4 linked regions of the Ovis aries genome follow. Each later gene encodes a partner of the first gene's protein in a complex. Links are inferred from orthologs where the notes say so. Each region holds a gene or a part of one and is shown in the gene's direction. Other genes may lie near its edges. The genes, in order: VPS51, VPS52, VPS54 and STX6.

Evidence for each region.
Region 2: VPS51 (region 1) and VPS52 share a complex: the UniProt entries of both Homo sapiens proteins name them as parts of the endosome-associated retrograde protein (EARP) complex. The link is inferred for Ovis aries from reciprocal best matches to the Homo sapiens genes VPS51 and VPS52.
Region 3: VPS51 (region 1) and VPS54 share a complex: the UniProt entries of both Homo sapiens proteins name them as parts of the golgi-associated retrograde protein (GARP) complex. The link is inferred for Ovis aries from reciprocal best matches to the Homo sapiens genes VPS51 and VPS54.
Region 4: the proteins of VPS51 (region 1) and STX6 are in contact, whole or in part, in a crystal structure (PDB 4J2C), measured with the Homo sapiens proteins. The link is inferred for Ovis aries from reciprocal best matches to the Homo sapiens genes VPS51 and STX6. Residues at the interface, in NP_037397.2 of Homo sapiens: Ala33, His34, Met36, Leu37, Leu39, Tyr40, Tyr41, Gly42, Leu43; in NP_005810.1 of Homo sapiens: Met3, Glu4, Asp5, Pro6, Phe7, Val9, Val10, Glu13, Trp59, Asp60, Asp63, Leu64, Glu66, Thr67, Ile70, Val71, Phe78, Arg88.

Annotation. Positions count from the first base shown.
Region 1 is NC_056074.1:39,753,356-39,758,677, forward strand, and holds the start of VPS51 (vacuolar protein sorting-associated protein 51 homolog), read left to right. Parts: upstream 1-2,059; 5' UTR 2,060-2,101; coding exon 2,102-2,326; intron 2,327-2,791; coding exon 2,792-2,921; intron 2,922-5,322. UniProt on the Homo sapiens protein: Acts as a component of the GARP complex that is involved in retrograde transport from early and late endosomes to the trans-Golgi network (TGN).
Region 2 is NC_056073.1:7,582,471-7,586,669, reverse strand, and holds the end of VPS52 (vacuolar protein sorting-associated protein 52 homolog), read left to right. Parts: intron 1-1,818; coding exon 1,819-1,930; intron 1,931-2,098; coding exon 2,099-2,217; intron 2,218-2,422; coding exon 2,423-2,569; 3' UTR 2,570-3,133; downstream 3,134-4,199. UniProt on the Homo sapiens protein: Acts as a component of the GARP complex that is involved in retrograde transport from early and late endosomes to the trans-Golgi network (TGN).
Region 3 is NC_056056.1:44,279,896-44,285,277, forward strand, and holds the start of VPS54 (vacuolar protein sorting-associated protein 54), read left to right. Parts: upstream 1-2,083; 5' UTR 2,084-2,210; intron 2,211-5,382. UniProt on the Homo sapiens protein: Acts as a component of the GARP complex that is involved in retrograde transport from early and late endosomes to the trans-Golgi network (TGN).
Region 4 is NC_056065.1:61,503,677-61,508,360, reverse strand, and holds part of STX6 (syntaxin-6), read left to right. Parts: intron 1-19; coding exon 20-82; intron 83-2,950; coding exon 2,951-3,076; intron 3,077-4,298; coding exon 4,299-4,405; intron 4,406-4,684. UniProt on the Homo sapiens protein: SNARE promoting movement of transport vesicles to target membranes. Targets endosomes to the trans-Golgi network, and may therefore function in retrograde trafficking.

The DNA of each region.
Region 1 (5,322 bases):
CTTTTGAGTCCCTTGATGTAACTTCATACACTGGCATGTATGTCTCTACATGCATAACTTAAAAAAATTATGCCACACATATTGTTAAAATATAATTTTTTTTTTAAAAGTTAACATGGGACTTCCCTGGTGGTCCAGTGGCTAAGACACCGTACTCCCAATGCAGGTGGCCCGGGTTCGTTCCCTGGTCAGGGAACTAGATCCTACATGCCACAGCTAATACCAGGCACAGCCAAATAAATATTTTAAAAAGTTAAAAATATACTTGAATAAACACAACTAAGATACATTAACTCGTCAGTGAAGGGGTTCCCCCTCACTCATGTGTAATGCATGATGAGGCACTAGGTATTGATAGGCATTTGAAGAAGAGTGTTAGGACATGATTACTAGATACAAGATTGGTTGATGTCCTACAGGGCAATAAAAACAAAATTTAGAGGTTATTTTTCCACTGGATATTTTCACTGGAGATGTTTCACATCTCTCCAACACTATCTAAATAGCAAGATCAAACAAATGTACACTCCTGTGGGTAATTAAATAGTCTTTGGGTGGGCTTGTGAAACAATGCCCCAGTATGGTATTGGAAGGTCATGCTACACTGTCTTTATTCCAACTGTTGGATAATTTTTCATAACAGTATTCTGTGATTTTTTTTTAAGTTTATAGATTTCCTGGAGTAGATCTAAATCTTTATACTTTTGTCTTCATTTTTCTTAAGATTATAGCTTCATAAGCTGAAATCTTCATATATATATATTTTAGACAGTCTCTGAATATCCCATAGATTTAGGGGTCAACAAACTTTCTGTGAAAAACAAGATAGTAAATGGTTTTGCCTGCCAAAGAATAAATAAAGTGGTTTCCATTCCACCCCGGACCCCCAACCCATAATATGTTTCAAAGACCACACTGACAAAGTCTTTTTCTCCTTTTTCATCCACTCAAACTCCGTGTGTCTCAATTTGAACTCACAAGTCTTTCCTTACCTTCAGTTCTTTACTTCAGTGAACAGCTGTGCATTTGTCCCAACCAGAAACCTGAGAATTAGCTTCAACACCTCCGCCTAACCCCTCTAGGCAGAGCATTTCAACAGTCACTTGGAGAAACAAAGTTGGTCTTTCCGTAGTGCATGCGCTGTAGCCTGGCCAGGTTCCTCTGTCCATGGGATTTCCTAGGCAAGAATACTGGAGTGATCTGCCATTCCCTTCTCCAGGGCATCTTCCCAGCCCAGGGATGGAACCCAGGTCTCCTGCATTGCAGGCAGATTCTTTACCACTGAACCACCAGGGAAGCCTTATCAGTGAGTTAAGATCTACCAAGTGTGTCTTCTCAGGGTATAACAGGAGTTCTCAAATGTAAGTGCATCAGAATTACTTAAAGACTTAAAAAAAAGAAGCTAGGTCTGAGGGGAGCCCAGTCTTCACAACTCGCCACAGGTAATTCTGAAGGCTATTCTGATGCGCGTCAGAGGACCAGGTCATCAGAGACACTTCACTTGAGGCACTGTGGTTGTCCATTAGTCCCTAAGTCGTGTCTTTGAGACGCCATGGACTGTAGCCCGCCAGGCTCCATGGGGTTTTCCAGGCGAGAATATATGCATTTAATCCTCACAGTCTCCTTGTTAAATATGTACCCCGATATTAGGAATGAAGGAAAATGAGCTGCTGCCCACCCCCTCTCCCCTCAACAAGGCAGTGGCAGGATGCCAGGCACACGCTTTCTGGCTCCACTGGCCCGCGCTCCCTCCACTGCCTGCATCTAGGGACATAGGGTGGAAGCCACGACTCGTCCTCCTTCCGGGAAGACAGCGACCCAACCAGTTTCGCAAAATCCTTCCATCTGAGAAGCTGGAGAGGCGGGTGAAGGGGTGCGGGGGTGGGGGGTGGGGCGTGGGGGCGGGAACCCAGGGCTTTCCCGGAACCTCTGAGCTCGGGGAGAAAGCATGCGGGGGAACTCTAGTCTCGAAGGACTCGAGGCTGCAGGGGGACGTTTCACCTGAAGGACTGCCTCGTTTCAACAACAACTTTATGGCTCCCGGAAGTGCCTCCTCCCTGTCCCCTGCCCAGCCTCACGCCTGTGGGCTGCACTTGGAGCCATGGCGGCGGCAGCCGCTGCGCCTGGCCCAGGGTCTAGACCTGGGGACTCCCCGGAAGGACCCGAGGCGGAGGCTCCAGAGCGTCGGCGGAAGGCTCACGGGATGCTGAAGCTTTACTACGGCCTCTCAGAGGGGGAGGCGGCGGGACGCCCCTCGGGGCCAGACCCCTTGGACCCTACAGATCTCAATGGGGCGCACTTCGACCCGGAAGTATACCTGGATAAGGTGTGTGTAGGGGGAGGGGGAACAGGCCCCGATATATTACGCCCCAGATCATGCCTCCGACTTTTTGCGGGGGTGTGGGAGGAAGGGTTCATAAAAGCAGGACAGCCCCGGGTGGAGCTGTAGGGGCAGAGCTGGAGGATAAGGGGGCGTGGGCAGACTTGAACTGGCCTGAAGTGGTGTGAAGTCTGAGGTCTCCTGGGCTGATGTTCAGTTAGACCCGAAATAGGGGGCGTGTCCCAGGCGCTGACTGGCGTAGGAAGGACCAGGGCTTGCTAAATCTGAGGGTTTGAAATGCTGACAAACCTAAAATAGGGGCTACCCTGGGAACTCTTGAGCTATGCCACATAGTTTCCTTGTCTGGAGTTCTTGACAGGGGTGAGACCAGGACTTTCTTGCACCAAAAGCCTACCAGTTGGGGACATGAGTGCCCCCTGTCCTGGACACTAACCACCTAATTTCCTCCAGCTGCGTAGAGAGTGCCCACTGGCCCAGCTGATGGACAGTGAGACGGACATGGTGCGGCAGATCCGGGCTCTAGACAGCGACATGCAGACCCTGGTCTATGAGAACTACAACAAGTTCATCTCAGCGACAGGTGATTCCTACTGGGACACGAATCCTCACGTCCCACATCCCCCAGTTCCTCCAGTGTTGGGGAAACCAGCAGAGGGTTTAGACAGAGCAGACCCAGATTATGGTCCTACCCTGACGCGAATACACTCTCATCTCTCTCTCTTAGAGCTTTTGTGGTTTGATAACCATTGAGGTAATAACTGTTCTCAGAGGGTTGTTTTGAGGACCAAAGGGGAGAAAAAGACAAAATGAAATTTTAAAAAGAAATGAATTTATCTGAAGCACTTAGAATCTCTGACACTAAGGATGCCTCGGTAACAGTTTCTTTCATTAGTGGTAGCTTTCTTCTGTTTCAAGTCTGAATCAAGAATGGGCTTATTTCTCTCTTTCCTTTTCTCTCTTCTTTCCTTTCTTCCCTCCTCTTTCCCCTTTTCCTCTTCCTTTCTCTTTTTGTAAATGAAGCAAAGAGACAGAAAATGTATGTCATTAAGGGACAAAGATCATGTAAAGGCTTCCCCCCACCCTCTTCTGTTCCGTTTATTCTCTATTCAAGACAGTGCTAGGCAGTGTTCAGCTTTCATCCATGCTAGCTTCTGTCCTGTGTTGGGGAAATGTACTGCTCAGACTTCTGTAATAATTTTTGACCCACATGTACTTAGTCCTAGAGGAAGATCTCATGGGTCTACCTGCAGTGTATCTTATCTTTACTCTGAGTGAGATGAAATGAACAGAAGATGGGGTGACCTGGCTTTTGATTTAAAAGGACCCTTCTATCCCCTGTCAAAAGTGGACTATAGGGAGGCAAGGATGGTAGAGACACCCATTAGAAGGCTGTTTTAACAGTCCAGGCAAGATGCTGGTTGTATGGACCAGGGTGGGTGCAGTGGGAAAGCAGAATGGCTCAAGATTCTTTAAAGTTTGTTAGTTGAGGGATCTGGAGTTCAGAGAAGGCTGGAACTTGAGATGAAAGTGGAACAAGATGAGATCTAAGGAGGGAGTGTACAGAGAGAAGAGGTCTGAGGACTGAAGCTTGGGGCATCCTAAGATTTGGAAGTCACGAAGAGCAGGAAACTCTCACAAATCTTCTTTCTCAAAGGAGCAAACATTTGGGAAAGTTTGAGAACAACCAGGACCCTAGGTGTCTTAGAAGATGAATGAAGAAAGGCATTCTAAGAAATTGATAAGCTTGACCAATATGTTAGCTCATGGAGTGCTCATCAGTGGTGCAAGAGAGGGAGAAACTACAGAAGCAAGGTCCTCAGGAAAGAAGGAGGGGATTGAGCAGTGCACAGTGGAGAGGTTCACCTGAAGACAAGGCCAGGAGCCTGTCTACTGTAGCAGGAGGGAGAGCAGACTGTGGCCAGAGCCAGTCAGGTGGATAGGCAGATAGAGTTCAACTAGAGACCTTCCAGAGCACGTTAAGGAATCCAGCCTTTATCTAAAGCATACTTAGCTAATCAAGCTGTTACGATTTTTGTTTTGAAAAGATCCCTCTACCTCCTAGCTGCATAGGAAGGAATAGATTGGAGAGGGGGTTAGAGTGAGGCCATTTCAGTAGTCCAGACCAGAGATTCTGGGAGCTTACTCCAGGATGGTGATGGTGGAGGTGGACAGTGATGAGTAAACTGAGAAGTGTTAGGGGTACCATTGACAGGACATAGTGTTGAAGAGGTTTGAATAAACAGAATGCCCTAGTTTCAGCTTGAACACTGGATGGCAGATGTAGTGCCCGAGAAACTGCAAGAAGATCTGGTGTAAGAGTGGAAACATGACGAGCTAGGTTTTTTCTTGTTTTTGTTTTTAAGGGGAGTAAGGCATGACATGAACCTGGAGGAGCCTGTGGGGCCACGTCAGGAGGGCCCTTTGTAGACAAGATAAGGATTATGGTCTTTATCATAAGAACTCTAGAGATACTTCTTGCAAACAGTAACCAGAAGAGAGTTGGGATAGTAGTACCAATTCAGACAAAATAATATGTAAGACAAAAATTGTTACTAAAGAGAAAGAAGGACATTTTACAACAGGCAGCTCATTAAGATGTTAACGAATATAAACACTTATGGACCTAACAACAGAATCCCGAATACATAAAGCAAAATTGGGTAGAATTAAAGACAGAAAAAGAAATTCAGCAATAATAGTTAGAAATGTCCATATCCCACTTTCAAAAATGGAGCGAACAGTTAGACAGAAAGACAGCAAGAAAATAGAAGGCTTAAACAGTACTTACTCAGGAAGTTTAAACTGGGGCTCGTGGCAATCTAGAGGGGTGGGATAGTGTGGGAGGTGGAAGGGAGGCTCAAGAGGGAGAGGACATATGTATACTTACAGCTGATGCATGTTGACGTATGGCAGAAACCAGCACAATACTGCAAAGCAATTTACCTTTCACTTAAAAATAAATAAAATTTTAAAAATGAAAA
Region 2 (4,199 bases), on another chromosome or scaffold:
TCCCTCCCTTGCACTGTGTTTTATTTGTTTGTTTGCCTTTTCATTTTAACTTTGTGTTTTGGGAAATCTCAAATGTACGTCCTATGTAGAGGATAGCATGGTGAGCCCCCAGGCGCCGTCACACATCTTCAGCCAATGACAGGACAATTGTTTCATCTGTATCAAAACCTGTTGTTCATCCTCCCATCCGTCCCCCAACCCTCAGTGATTTTGAATTAAATTCTGTACACCACTATCACTTCATCTGTGTCAGGATATGTTTTTTAAACCACAATACTTTATCACACTTTTAAAAAAAGATAGGACTTGGGGCTTTCACTTGAGGTGGCCTGGAAAAAAAAAAGAAAGTAGCTAGTATTCATGTATCCCCACTTATAAACAGTGGTTCAAGTCAGGATCCATATACAGTCCATACGTGCCTCTCTTTTTTCTGTTTATTTGGCTGTGCCGGGTCTTAGTTGCGGCGTGTGGGATCTAGTTCCCTGACCAGGGATCAAACCTGGGCCCCCTGCATTAGGACTGTGGAGTCTTAACCACTGGACCACCAGGGAAGTCCCCGTATGTCTCTTTTTAATCTATAGATTTCCCTTCTATCTCCTCCCTGTCTCCTCCATGCAGTTTATTTGTACAAGAAATGGAGTCATTTGTCACGTAGAATGCCGTACAGTCTGGATTTTGCTGCCTGCCTTGCATAGCATGCCTAAGCTATTCCTCTTTTCCCATAAATGTGTGATTCAATGGAAACGCTTGATCAGATTCCAGGTAGATTTTTTTTACAAGGCTGTTTGAGAAGTAGTGGTGTGTACTTCTCTCAGGGCACTTAATGTCTTCTTGGCTTTCTTTTTGCCAGTGGCCATCAGTGATCACCACCCAGACCATTAGATTTCTAAATCTCTCAATGTCTCAAAAATTTCCATCTCCTTATCTGTGCTGCATTTTGAGTCATTTCTTCAATTGTAAATTCCAGTTTGCTCAGTCATTTTTCCAGGTACATCCAGTCTGCTGTTTAGCCAGCTGACATAAAAAAAAAAAATTTTTTTTAATGTTTTTTTCTAAATCATTTCTTTTAAATCCCATTTTGTTTCAAGTCTGTTTCTGATCTTGGTAGTAGGTCACGTTTGTGTGGCGTCTTTAACTTCTTTGAACATTGCATACAGAATATGCAGCTGCTCTGTGTGTGACAGTTTTAACACTGGCAGTCTTCGGAGGTCTAAGTCCACTGCTTACTGTCTATTCTGACTCGTCGTAGCTTGCTTGCTTCTGTGACTGGGTATCTTCGGGCTCTTTTCTTGGTCTCAATCAGGGGTAGTCATCGGGGCCTAAATGGGGATCAGGGAGGTTTCAGAGAAGGCTTGCCTCTGCTTTTGTAATAGCTGAAAGTTGCCATCCACCTGGGTCTACACTGGCACCTCTGAGAGGCTCTCATGAGACCAAGCTCAGCATCTCCACTCAAGGCCTGCATCAGCTCAGCTTCCTGATAGCAGAGCTGCCGTGACCACTTACTTTTTTGTAGCCCTGCCTCTCCCAGGCGCTCAGGGCCCACTTCTCTGGTTCTGGCCCTCTGCTCCCAGCTCACTTTTTTAAATTTAAACAAAGGTTTTGTGGCTTATTTATTTATTTTGAGAAGGGAGGAGATTTCCCCTACGTCTTGTGAGACCGACAGTGTCTTAAAGTATATGACCTTTCTAGAGGTTCGCTGTTGTTATGGGAGTGTTCTAAGGACCTAGTTGGTCATGGTGCCAGAATTGGGAAAAGTCTGCCCCCCCCCCCCCCCCCCCGGAATCTGAGCTCTGTGTGTGTGTGTGTGTGTTCCTACAGGAATTCATTGAAGAGTTGCTGTCTCCCCCCTTTGGGGGCCTGGTGGCATTTGTAAAGGAAGCCGAAGCTTTGATTGAGCGAGGACAAGCGGAGCGACTCCGAGGGGAAGAAGGTCTGAGGATGGGGTGGATGGGGTGGGGTGAGGGGAAAGAGGATGGGAAAAGAAAACTGCAAGGATGCAGATTACATGGGGAGGGCGAACACCAGAACGGGGTTGCAGGGTGAGGACCTAGCGGGATCAGACATCACTTAGCCATGATCTTTTTCCTCCTCCTCTCAGCCCGGGTTACTCAGCTGATCCGTGGCTTCGGCAGTTCCTGGAAATCATCGGTGGAGTCTCTGAGTCAGGATGTGATGCGGAGCTTCACCAACTTCAGAAATGGAACCAGCATCATCCAGGTAACCTGTGACTCCCGGTCCCCATTCGCACCCCGCCCCATCACTGGTTTGCCCTCCTCTTTTCTCGGGGCTCGGAATCATACAAGTGACCCTTGATCTTCAACTACCAGCTGTGCCCAAAGTTCTGGCCGAGCCCTAAGCTGACGGCTATCATCATCCTTAGAATCACCCTGCATCTCATCCCTCCGTGACTTTCTCTGAGCAGGGAGCTTTGACCCAGCTGATCCAGCTCTATCATCGCTTCCACCGGGTGCTGTCTCAGCCACAGCTGCGAGCCCTCCCTGCCCGGGCTGAGCTCATCAACATCCATCACCTCATGGTGGAACTCAAGAAGCACAAGCCCAACTTCTGAGGCGCCGGGCCCTGGGGGCCACCAGCCCTCTCCATGGACTTCTGAGCCCCATCCTATCCCCCTTTTCACCCGGGGCTCCCTGCCAGTGCCCCTTTGCCTCCTAGGCTCTCACAGGCCTCACTCTGCCTTCATTCCTGGGACTGTGCTTCGTCAGGATAAGCCGGATCCCCTTGGCTTTGGGCATGTCTCATGTCCAAGTTTCCCAGGACCACTCGCTCCTGGGCTTCCAAACTAACCTCCGTTATCTTTCCAGTGTTGTCATTCCGCTCTTTCCTCCCACTGCCCCACCCCCAAGGCCTTTTTCTTCTCCCAGTAAAACCTTCTGGTTCACTCAGCTCTTGTCATCGTGGCATGAGGTGTGACGCCTCGACTCTTGGAATTGTTGTGGCAAGGGAAGACTGTCTCATAACGGTTGACTTTTTTTTCCCTTCCACTCAGTGATTTATTTTCTGTAGCTTTTTGACCTAAGATCTCAGCAACTTGAACACTAATCAGTCGCCTCCTGGCTTCAGAGTTACATCAAGGTCAGTGTGCAGAAAACAATAAATACTTAATATGATACAACACTCTTTTCCCATTTCTTTTCTCCTCCTCCTGGGAGAGGAGGTCCTTCAAGTAGCCCCGTCTCTGCCCCAGGATCACCTTTGCTCTCTGCCTCCTGGGCCTGCATCCCTTTCTGGTGGGTGTCCAGAAACTCGGGGCCGTGGTTACCTCTAACCTGCAGCTCCTTCAGGCCAAAGTGGCTGCATTGGTTTTAGGGCGGGAACTGTTTCAGGAGTAACCAACCTGGCTGAGGAAGTGACCCTGGTGAAAACGGCAGATGCCGGCCGCCTCGGCTCCTCTAAGGCAGACACCGGCTCTCCTTGCCTCTGGCCTCCCCAGGTTGACGCTGGGATTGCCTTCTCTCCTTGAGGGTCAGCTCCCTAGCTCCTCCGGTGCGACCGTCACAGCCCTTGCTAGGGGGCTGCAGTTGCCATTGCGCTGGGCCGTGAGCAGGCCAGGTCTGCAGTGTGGCCATCTCATCCCTTCCTGTGTCTCGGCCCCTTCCTGCTGCTGCCGCCTTACGGTCCTGGTCCCGTTTGAACTCAGACTCTAGACCGAGGAGACTTGGGGGTGCCTGGAAATGCGGAGGGGGAGGGCCAGTGCCGTCGGGGGGACATGGTAACTCGGGGACGTCCCCCCACCCCCGACCTTCTCGTTCCCCCAGTGGCTGCTTGGGCCCTCTGGATGCTGGCCCAGCCCGCACGCGGAGGCGGGGAGAATCAGGGTGCAAAGCGGCGCGCCGTCTGCTCCGCGCCGGGGCTGGGGGCGAGGCCCGCGCTTCGCAGGGTTAGGGCCGGAGAGCGGCCGCGCCAGCCGCCTCTCCCGCTCGCGCCTTTTCCCGGCTCTAAGAGCGGCGCGCGGACCAGCCTCGGGACCCGCACCTCGGAGCTTTGGCCTCGGATGGTCTGAGGAGCCCGGAGGGATGGCGGGGGTGCAGGGGAGAGGCCTTAATGACCGCACCCCGCGTCCCCGCCACCCTCGCCTCCTCTGGCGTTCTCCGGGCTTTGCCCACCCTGACTCCCCCGCAGACCTTCCCTGAGGCCCGCCGCGCTCTGGGCGGTGGTGCTCCGAAGGGGGTACCGCGAGC
Region 3 (5,382 bases), on another chromosome or scaffold:
TAGTTTTTTGTTATGTTTTTGGCAAACCTGATTATCAGCATTTAGTTTTAGATTTAGATTCATGATTATGAACTGTTCTGTGGATTAGTAAAAATAAAATCATGCTGGATCCCTGAAAGAACTAAGTGCAATACTCAACATGTATTTTCTTCCTATGGTTTGTTATCTACAAATGGATGATGAGGAAGGCAAACCTGTCTGTCTTGTGCTAGTGTCTGAGAGATACTTCATAGCTATTCTCTAACCCAAGTGCCAACTATGGCAACCTGGAATCTTTTTCAGAGCAAGGTCGGGTATAAGTGCAAATATTTTTTAAAAGGCCAAACCACTGGGTATAAGGCAGCTTTTGAACTACTGTTGGTTTCCTGATGTGGTTTCAAAATATAGGAACTTGTTGCATCCATTTTATAGTATAATCTATGAACTGATTCTAGATTTAAAGTGAATTATTTTCCTCTCTGGCCTTTGGTGAAATTTGGTGTCTTTCCTGTGTAATGTATGTAATGTGTGTAATGTAAACTCATCTGGTTTTATCCAGGACTTAGGAGGATTTCTTTATTATTTTTATAGTTAAATTTAGTTAATGTTGGAGATTACTGTTCTCATTACAAAATTGTAGAGAATTGAATTTAGAACAATATAAAGTAAGAATTTCCTCTCAATTATTTTTGTTGCTTTCTTCTCTATTGTCTTTCCCTTCCCCCAACTTTAGCTCTTTAGTGGGTAAAATACTATTTCACAAAGAGTTATGTTTGCAGTTTTCAAAATGACTTCTTATAAGTGAAATTGGAAACTTTATTTTTTCAATCTCCAACGGTAAGAGTTACATTTTCACTTTTGATTTGATAAAACACATGAAACACACTACGTGATAAACTAAGCATTCAAAAGGCCCTTTTCTCTCTCTTAAAATGTATCCTAACACATTCTCTTTCTTGTGGATTCTATTAACTGGATTAAGGTCACCAGCCCTCGGAAACCAGGCTAAATTGGATTACTGTTGAGAATCATAGTGAGGAGGTATTAATAATACACACACACACACACACACACACACACACACACACACTCTTCAAGTATTTCAGTCAAAGAGCAGGAAGAACTGATTCCACGGCTAGAGAAGTGTGATAGGTGCCTGAGAGGAAGGCCTGGAACTTGGGAAAACTTGGGATTTGGTGGGAGAAGGCCTCCATAGGGAGTGCACTGTTTCCAGAGTCCAGTGGATTGCTGGGGAGGGGGTGACCTTAAACCTTTCAAAGGACACTTAACTGGGATACTCTGAATAGCCTTCACTTTCAAGGGGTGAAAGGACAAGTGGAATGTTGTGGAAGTATCTACTTTAATAGGTGCTGGGTGATTGAGGGATGTTTGGTGTCGGTTGGTCTAGGGGTTGGGCGAGGGCCACCCTGAGGGGTCGCATACCGACCCGGGAAGGCGGCAAGCGGCACCGGGCTGCAGCCGAGAGCACCTGGGGGTGGGGGAGGGGTCGTAGGGAAAAATCGAGTTCAGCGTGGGTTTCTGTCTCTGCCTGGGGAGTTATTAGAGATTAGAGGAGGCGCTGAGCAGCCGCGCGGGGTATTCCCCGCTCCGGGGTAACGCCGGCGGCGCCCGCTCCAGGCCCGGCCCTCTCCCGAGACGGCAAGCGCTCCCCCCGGCCCGGGCCGCGGCCTCCCGCCCCGGTGGAGCCGCGCGGTGGATTGTGGGCTGGGGGCTGCGGCGGCCTCGCGGCGGCCTCCGGCACTGTCTCCCCGGACCTAGCCAGACCGAGGCGGGCGGGCGGGGTGAGGAGAAGCAGTAGAGCAGGGAGCAGAATCGCTAGGGGTAGTGGTCGCGGCGCGGCGGCGGCGGCGGCGGCGGCGGCGGCGGCTCCTCTGGAGGCCGGGGATGTGGGAGAGGCGGTGGCAGCAGCGGCGGAGGCGGCGCTGCGGACCCGGGGGAAACTGCTGGCTGACAGGACACCCGGGAGAGACGTGAGGGAGCCGCCGCTGCCGCCTCTCACCCCCGAGCGGAGCTGGGCTCGAGAGGGCGGCCCTGTGCTCCCCCGGCCGACGGGCCAGCCGGCGCGGGGCGGGGGCGGGAAGCCGGGCTCGGGCCCAGCCGGGCTCCGGGCGGCGGCGGCCGCGGAGCAGCAGCCTCGGCGCGACGTGGAGGCTTGGAAGCGGCGGCGATGCACTAGGCCTCGCTCTGGGGCGGCTGCCCGGGACCCGCAGGTAGGTGTCGGGCCGGCCCCACGCGGCCCCCAGCGCTTCGCGGCCCACCCTCGCCCCGACTTCCCGTGGAGGGAGGACCGAGACCCCACCCCCTCTGTCTCCTCCCAGGCCCAAGCCGGCGGAGTTTCGGTCACAACTGACCAGCGCCGAAGCTTCCATTCCTCCCGGCCACCACCTCCTCCTCTTCTTTCTCACTCTCCCGCCGGGATCCGGGCTGGCAGCTGTACTCTTCGCCCCTAGCCCGCGGCTGCGACGCCGCTCTCGCCTCTCTCTCCCCTCTCGCCCCTCTTGGGATTTCGGCTGTGGAACTTCCACCATCCTCCTTAGACGCTGCCTCCAAACTTTCCCTTTCTTTTTCTGGCCGGGCCCTTAAGCCGCTTTTTGATCCTACTGGAATAATTTAAATTTAAAAAGTCATTTTTCTTCCTGGAGATGGCCAGCCCAGAAATTAACTCGATGTTTTGCAGTTTGGCAGTTTAGCTCCCAATCATTTTGTTCAGTAGTTAATTTTCTTCAGTTATACATCTTTCCGTCTCTGCACTGATGCAAAGGCAGGCCTTACCTGCCCTCCTGTCGTTGACAGGGGAACTTTTGCCAGCCCATTATAATTAACACTTGGTCTGTCCGTGTGCTGAGTTTGGGATGGTATTTTTAGAATTTTGGCTGACCCGGGTTGCAGTTTGTTTTTAAGAGTTCCCCATTAACTAGGTTAATTTTGGTCTTTATTTAGGCTCTCTTTACTTTCGAAGAATTCAGTTGGAATGTTTTTGGGTTTTGTTTTTAATTGGTTCTGTGTCTGATTTGTCAAACCCCAGAGCAGTCTTAATAGTAAATGCTTTAAAAAGGCAAGTGATGTCATGATAGTGTACTGAGAAATGTTATTGTGGTAACTTAAATTGCAGATTTTGACGGACATTAAGGTTGACTTTTATACCTGATGAAGTGTTCTATTTGGAAAAGTAGCATGAGAACCTTAATAATTTCTAAGATGGAATGATGGGATTTGTTTGATTGCAGTCAGATTCTGATATCCTAGAAATAGGTATTGCTTGATTGTTCATAGTTGTCATCATTGCTTATGATAGGTTTTGGTAAAAATGTGTGCAATTTTTGGGTGCTTGATAGTTATGGTCTAAGGGATTAGATGTTTGCTATTTTATTGTGATTTGGCTATTTTAAAATGATACTCTGTTAATTTTAGAATTATTGCATTATCAGGACAGACATTACAACTTGAGGATCACTTTTAAAAGAAATTAAAAATATCTCTATGGTTTTCTTTATAAAGGGTGCACTACAACAAAACTAAAAAGACATCCTGTTTGGTTGTATTCTGTTCTGTTGTTGATGATGATATTAATATATTTTGGTCTTAGAGAGGTATTGTTACCTTAACATTTGGCTTTCTGAAATGTTTTTCATTGCATTTAAGTTATCCAAAGTTTATTAGGAAAAGATGATTAAATTTGTATTTATTTTCTGGAAAAGTTAATTCTGTGTTAAGTTTTTATGTCAGAGTTAAAATCAAATCTTACACAACTCTTGAAATGGGAAACTTTGCAGAATTTGTTCTTAATCATATTCCTTTCCTATCAATAAGAGTTGATTAAAATTCTTTTTCTGCTTTAAGCTTTTTACAATATTTATTGAGTAAAGTACACTTATTTAAAGTGTTAAATTCATCCATTTTTAGGTTATTTACATAGTTGTGCAACTATTACCATAATCTAATTTTAGAACATTTTCATCACCTCAAAAAGAAACCTCTGCCCATTAGCAGTCACTCCCCATTCTCCCCATTCCACCCTACCCCCAGACATAGGTAACCACTAATCTACTTTCCATCTCAATATTTTCCTGTTATGGTTCACTCATGTATACAGTATTACTCCCTGAAAAATTTTTCTTTTAAAATTAATATCCATGTTTAAAATAGTTTGAGTCAGGCAATAATCAACTGATCACTGGTATTAAAAAGTGGTATTTTAAATGGTTGACATCCTGTTTGGTTGTATTCATCATAGATTACTACTGGAGAAAGAAAAAAGTTAGCATGAATGACTTCAGTGATCTGAGGAGGTGGTTTAGTCAGCTGGGAGTCAGTAAGTAAAAGTTGAAGGAGTGTTTTTGCCATTGGATGTTGAGTTGAAAAGATCTTAAAGGTCATCTGCTTACTTCCTACTTCCTTCACAAATAGATGGCAGGAACCAGATGAGGAAATCTGAGTGGAAGCTTGAATCTCTAGGACACATGACTTAAGAACCACAGTGTTACCATGTAAAGCAAGAAATGGGGATTTGCAAGTTAGAACTGTTAAGATCTTATGTGTATATAAGTATGTACATATATATGGATGTATGTATTTGACATTTTACTAGCAGAGTAGTGAGAGAACTGGACATTTCCCCATCTTTGGGATGGAGGGAGGAAGGGGACGATACATGTGATTCATATTACAAAATCCTATAAAATGCTTTAAGCTAAAGGAGGATGGCATATATATTATTTAGGTATCTTTTTGTACTGTTACTGTCTTAATTTTTTAAAAATCCACGTTTTAGAAACAATTAAAAAAAATTATACAGGGCTGGTTGGAGGCCTCCTTTTTCAAGACCTAGGACCCTAACTTTTAAATTGGTGGTACTCAAAGAGGGGCAGTTTTGCCCTCCGAGGGATATTTGGAAATGTCCAAAGACATTTTTCATTGTCACAGCTGAGGGTTGGGTGGTGTTGGCCTCTAGCCAGGGATGTTGCTAAATATCTTATAATGTGCAAGATATATCCTATTCTACCCTGCCTCCCCCACAACCTCCTGACATACAACAAAGAATTATCTGACCCTAAATATCAGTAATGTTCTAATCCTGTGGTTTGCATGATTCTGGTAAGGGCCTGAGCTAATGTTCCTGACTTCCACCAGATGGGAAAATATTCTCATTGGGTGCTGTTTGGTGGGTAAGATTAAACTTTAGGTCCTTTGGCAGTTCTCTGTCTTTGCAAGAGGAGGCAGTGAGGGAAGAATCTGTGACATAATGCAGATATTTTTTTAGTCTGCTTAGTTGTCTTCAGATCTGAAGTAAAAGAATTGATTTTCTTTCTGTAAATGGCAGCCTTATTTTATTGCAGATTTGAGCTATTATGTTTTGAATTGTTCATTACTGGTACATAGGTT
Region 4 (4,684 bases), on another chromosome or scaffold:
CTTCTGCTTATCTTGTTAGGACATGAAGGATCAGATGTCAGCTTCATCTGTGCAGGCGTTAGCTGAGAGGAAAAATAGACAGGTGAGTAAACATTGGAATATACAGTATCACAGAAAATACACAGATACGTGGACTTGACAAATTCTGACATCCGTGTATCATGTCTTCAAGCAGAAGACCTTGGTGCTGAGCCCGTAGTGAGGGCAGCAGCCTCCCCCCTCCCCCGCCACATCCTCTGGTTCTCGCCTCTGGGCTCCCGTTGCACGCTCTGTGTACCTCATAGCCCTTGCCGCAAACCATTTATTCTGCACCTGTGGAGCACGTTCTGTGTGCCAGGAGCTTTGTTAAGAGCCGTAATTGCTTGCTTGCTTGTCATTTTCTCTGCTGGACCTCAAGCTTCTTTGTGAGTAGGGAGGGATTGTGTCATGGTGTTTCTCTTCTGTTCTTTTTAGATTTCTAGCTGCCCATGTGTAGGATGCTCTAGATATTTAATGACTGAAACTTTACATAAAGTAGTTGAAGAAACTTAAATATGTGTTGAATCTTTCACTGTTTCATGTATCTTTTTATTTCTTTTTTGATGTGAGGTCCAGCTTTTGTAAGTTATTACAAATAAATTATGAAACCTAATAAATTTCAGAAACCAAAGCCCAGATACTGACACATCAAAAATAAAAGCTACAAGAGACTCAGTCCTTGAATTTAGTCGGCTGATAATTGAAGAACAGCTCACCATTTTTAATTAACTAGGAATCAGTAGTTTATGATACACTCTTCACTTTATACCTCTAGGTATTTCTTGACCCACTTAAAGGGAAGAGGATTCTCTAAATATCTTCTAGCTTAATTTTCCTGTTTTCTTTCCCCACATGCCACTTTCCAAGTCACTGTTGTTTTTTTTCCCCATCCACCCAACAGTGCAGACAGGAAAAGATGTTAGCTAGCCATCCCATCTGGCGCTGACTCTTGGAAAAGCCAGTGAACTAACATAAATAAAACGCAGATTTATGCAGAGGCTTCCTGACTGTGGCTGGGAATTTTGTTTCAGGCGATGAGTGAAATATCTTCGGGCTTCCCAGGTGGCTTAGTGGTAAAGAATTCACCTGCCAGTGCAGGAGACTTGGGTTTGATCCCTGGGACGGGAAGATCCCCTGGAATAGGAAATGGTAACCCACTCCAGTATTCTTGCCTGGGAAATCCCATGGACAGAGGAGCCTCGTGGGCTAGTCCATGGGGTTGCAAGAGTCAGACACAACTTAGCAACTACACTACAACAAAATGTCTTCGAGTCACAGGCATTCAAGGAATGGAAGGTGGACAGAGTCCACCTCACGGCTGCTTCCAGCACCGGGTGCTGGGCTGATCCTCACAAAGCCAAGGCCTCCTGCTTTGGCAGCTATACTTGGGCTGGTCCCCAGTGCTCTGGGCCCTCTCTCCATCTTCTTTCTCACTAACCAACTCCTGGAGGTCAGACCAAGGGGATCTCGACAGCTTCACGGGTGACTCTTAACAGCATGCCATATGCCTACCCAAGTGTAGACCATGGATAAGCTAGGAAAAAATAGCCATGACTGTGACCCCAGGAGCTCTGGTTCTCTATCCATAGCCTAATGATGCACTGTAGACTTTTTCTGACCTTGAAAAAATTGTTACTAGGCCCCAGTATCCACCATAGACTCATTAGAGTCTTTGCATCAAAACGAGCAGGATCCTTTCAATCTTAACAGCTCCATGACCAGATGGGGCAGAAGCATCCCCCCAGAACCTTATGTCTGTTCTACACCAGAGACAGTCACCATCCAGACTCTTGACTAAGGCTCTGGGCTGTGGAAGTTCTCAGGCATCCTGGTCCTCTTCTCATATCTGCCTCAGAACTCAACATACATCCTGAACTTTCCTGAATGTAGCCTCTGAAATGTGGCCATTTGGCCAAATTCATGTCTGAAAGTCAGGCAAGGCTAGTGTGGCTATTGAGGGGCTTTGCAGACAGAGAACCAAGGAATCAGTTAGACTTTTAACAGTTCCAGAGCTAAAGGTACCTGGTAAGAAGTTTTGGCAGCTCTACAAGATAGAAGAATCCTCGTCACTAGCTTGGTCCAGTTCTTTGGTTAAAAAGGCTTGTGGGGATCCCAGGCAGGGTCAGCTTGCATTCCTGGCTGGCCTCTTCAGTGAAGGAAAACATTCCCAAACTTAATCTTTTCTGACTACAGAATTCCTCAAATTCATACTAGGAAACCCAGCCCTGGTGTCTGGGGGCCCAGGTGGAGCCAACCCTGACATCAGGGCCAACCCTTGCTTGGGTTATCAGGGTCAGGCCCCCACTGTGGCCGTGCTCTCTTCTGAAGCAACCCCTAATCCATCTGGGAAGCCTCTAGCCTTTTAGTTCAGCTGAAGGGCATTGGGATTCATCTGTGGGTCACACTGAGCAGACACTGGTGGTTCTTGTGCCTTCCCTGCATGAGGGACTATGACTTAGTTTCTTGTCACTTTAGGGAACTATCTCCTCCCTCCTCTGAACACCAAAAATTTTCCTTGCTCATACTTAAATAGAAGGGACTCTAGATGTCTGGAATTAGTTAGACTAGGACCTTCAAAAGGTCTCCAGTGAAATTCCAAGGGTGCTAGGAAGAACTGGTCCTATGAGAACAAGTGCTTTACGATCCACAAAGCAGTGCACAGAGGGGCTTTAAGATTGCTTTAAAGTTGACTCTCACTTGCATTTTTAATGGGACAGAGCTCTTTTGTGAGTCAATAGAAAGTGCCCTTCATGGCATTCTCTGATTTGTACTCCGCAGGCACCAACCTGCACCAGTCCATAAAAAGCTGATCCCTGGAAAGACAGCTCATGAGCAGTGGGAGGACTCTTCATATCATGGTGATGGGACCCTTGTTTAGTGAGAGTAATGGTTTGTCCCTCCTGCCCTGCTGCCCCTGGCCCCACTTTCACAGGCCCTGCTAGGAGACAGTGGCGGACAGAACTGGAGCGCTGGAACGTCGGATAAATATGGGCGCCTCGACCGGGAGCTTCAGTTGGCCAACTCCCATTTCATCGAGGAGCAGCAGGCACAGCAGCAGGTACCTGAGTGCAGGACGGGGAGGTGGGAGGCCAAGCACCACCCTCCCCACTGCTCTGCCAGCCAGGGCCCTGTTGCTAATGACAGGCAGGAGGGGCCAGAGCTAGCCCCACAGCTGCCGGAGTCTACCTGTGTGAAGGTGGCTTACATAAAGGGTGTTTAAGACACCCTTCAGAGCATGACAGTTTCAAGAGAACCAAGCTTGATTAGACCTCTTAGGACAAGCAGACCAGACACCCGCAACTGACAGAGAAGGCCATTGATTTAAAAGCATAGCAGCTTCTTCCCCAGCCTCCACTTCTGTACTCAGCTTTTTGTTCATTTCAACAAAGGCACTTTGAGAAAAATTGAGTCCTTGTTTTTTCATTGAAAATGGTTGTTGGTTCCATTAGACGTAAAAATCATTGCTTGGTGGAGGTTAAGGGGTAGAAGGAAAGGTTGATTACGTTTGTGTGGTTGCTTTTGATTTGTATTAATTAAAGGGAGCTAATAGTAAAGTGTCTGGGGATTTGAGCATTACCACCCCATCAAAACTATTAGTTCTTAAATACTCTGTTTTATATATACGTGTTGATCTTTTTCCATTAGTACATCAGCTTAACCATTTGTCTACTTAAATTGCCATTAACCAAGCGAACTTTTTTTTTTTTTCAATGAAAAGTGAGGCTACTGCAGCCAATTAAAAGTAACTTGTGCTCAGAAGTTGCCTGCAAGGTAGCTTACTGCCGCAGAGCCTCCTCTCACGTGTCCTTGAGGAGGGAGCAAAGGACTCTGTGTGTGTAGTTTTCCCATGTCCAGAGACCTGTCAGACTTTCTCTTGCAGTTGCGTTGTGGCCAGCTGCTGCCAACTGAGACCCTGATCCTGGCAGCGGGCTTCCTCTTCCCCAGCATCCCCACGTGTCCGTGGTCACTGCACAGGTGCTTTTGGCCATTGTCTGTCCCTTGCTGGACTTCAGCCAACCAGGGTAAATCTCTCTGGGTGGTTTCAAGCCCCGCTGACTGTTTCACAAGTTGGATCAGCAGGGGATATCAGTAGCTTGACAGCCCAGCCTTTTGAGCAGCGTGTTCTCTGAGGCGGACGGTCTGGTCCTTTGATTTCTGGGCTTTGCTTCTGAATGTGAATTGTCCCGAGTTGGCAAAGAAGCTAGCAGCTGCTCGAGTGCTGGGCTTGGAACCAGGTAAGATGGATTTTAATTGCTTATTTCCCATTTCTCTGGCACCAGCTGATCGTGGAACAGCAGGATGAGCAGTTGGAGCTGGTCTCTGGCAGCATCGGAGTGCTGAAGAACATGTCCCAGCGCATCGGAGGGGAGCTGGAGGAGCAGGCCGTGTGAGTACTGGGATGCCCCTCTCGCCGCAGAGGTGAAGGAAAGCGCCATCTTAGGAGACCCCTGAAGAGCCTGCCGATTACATGGCTAGTAAAGCCGAAAGCTGTTTTGTTTCTAGCTGCATCTTCACTCTGTTTTACAGATTAACCTCTCCAAAAAAGGCAAATCCGTCAGATACAATTTTCAAGAAGGTTTAGGCAAAGTTATTAAACATCTGCAAAAGAGGTACCAATTCCTCTGAACAGCTGACTTCAAGTGTTGCTGTGAATAGGAATGTGAAA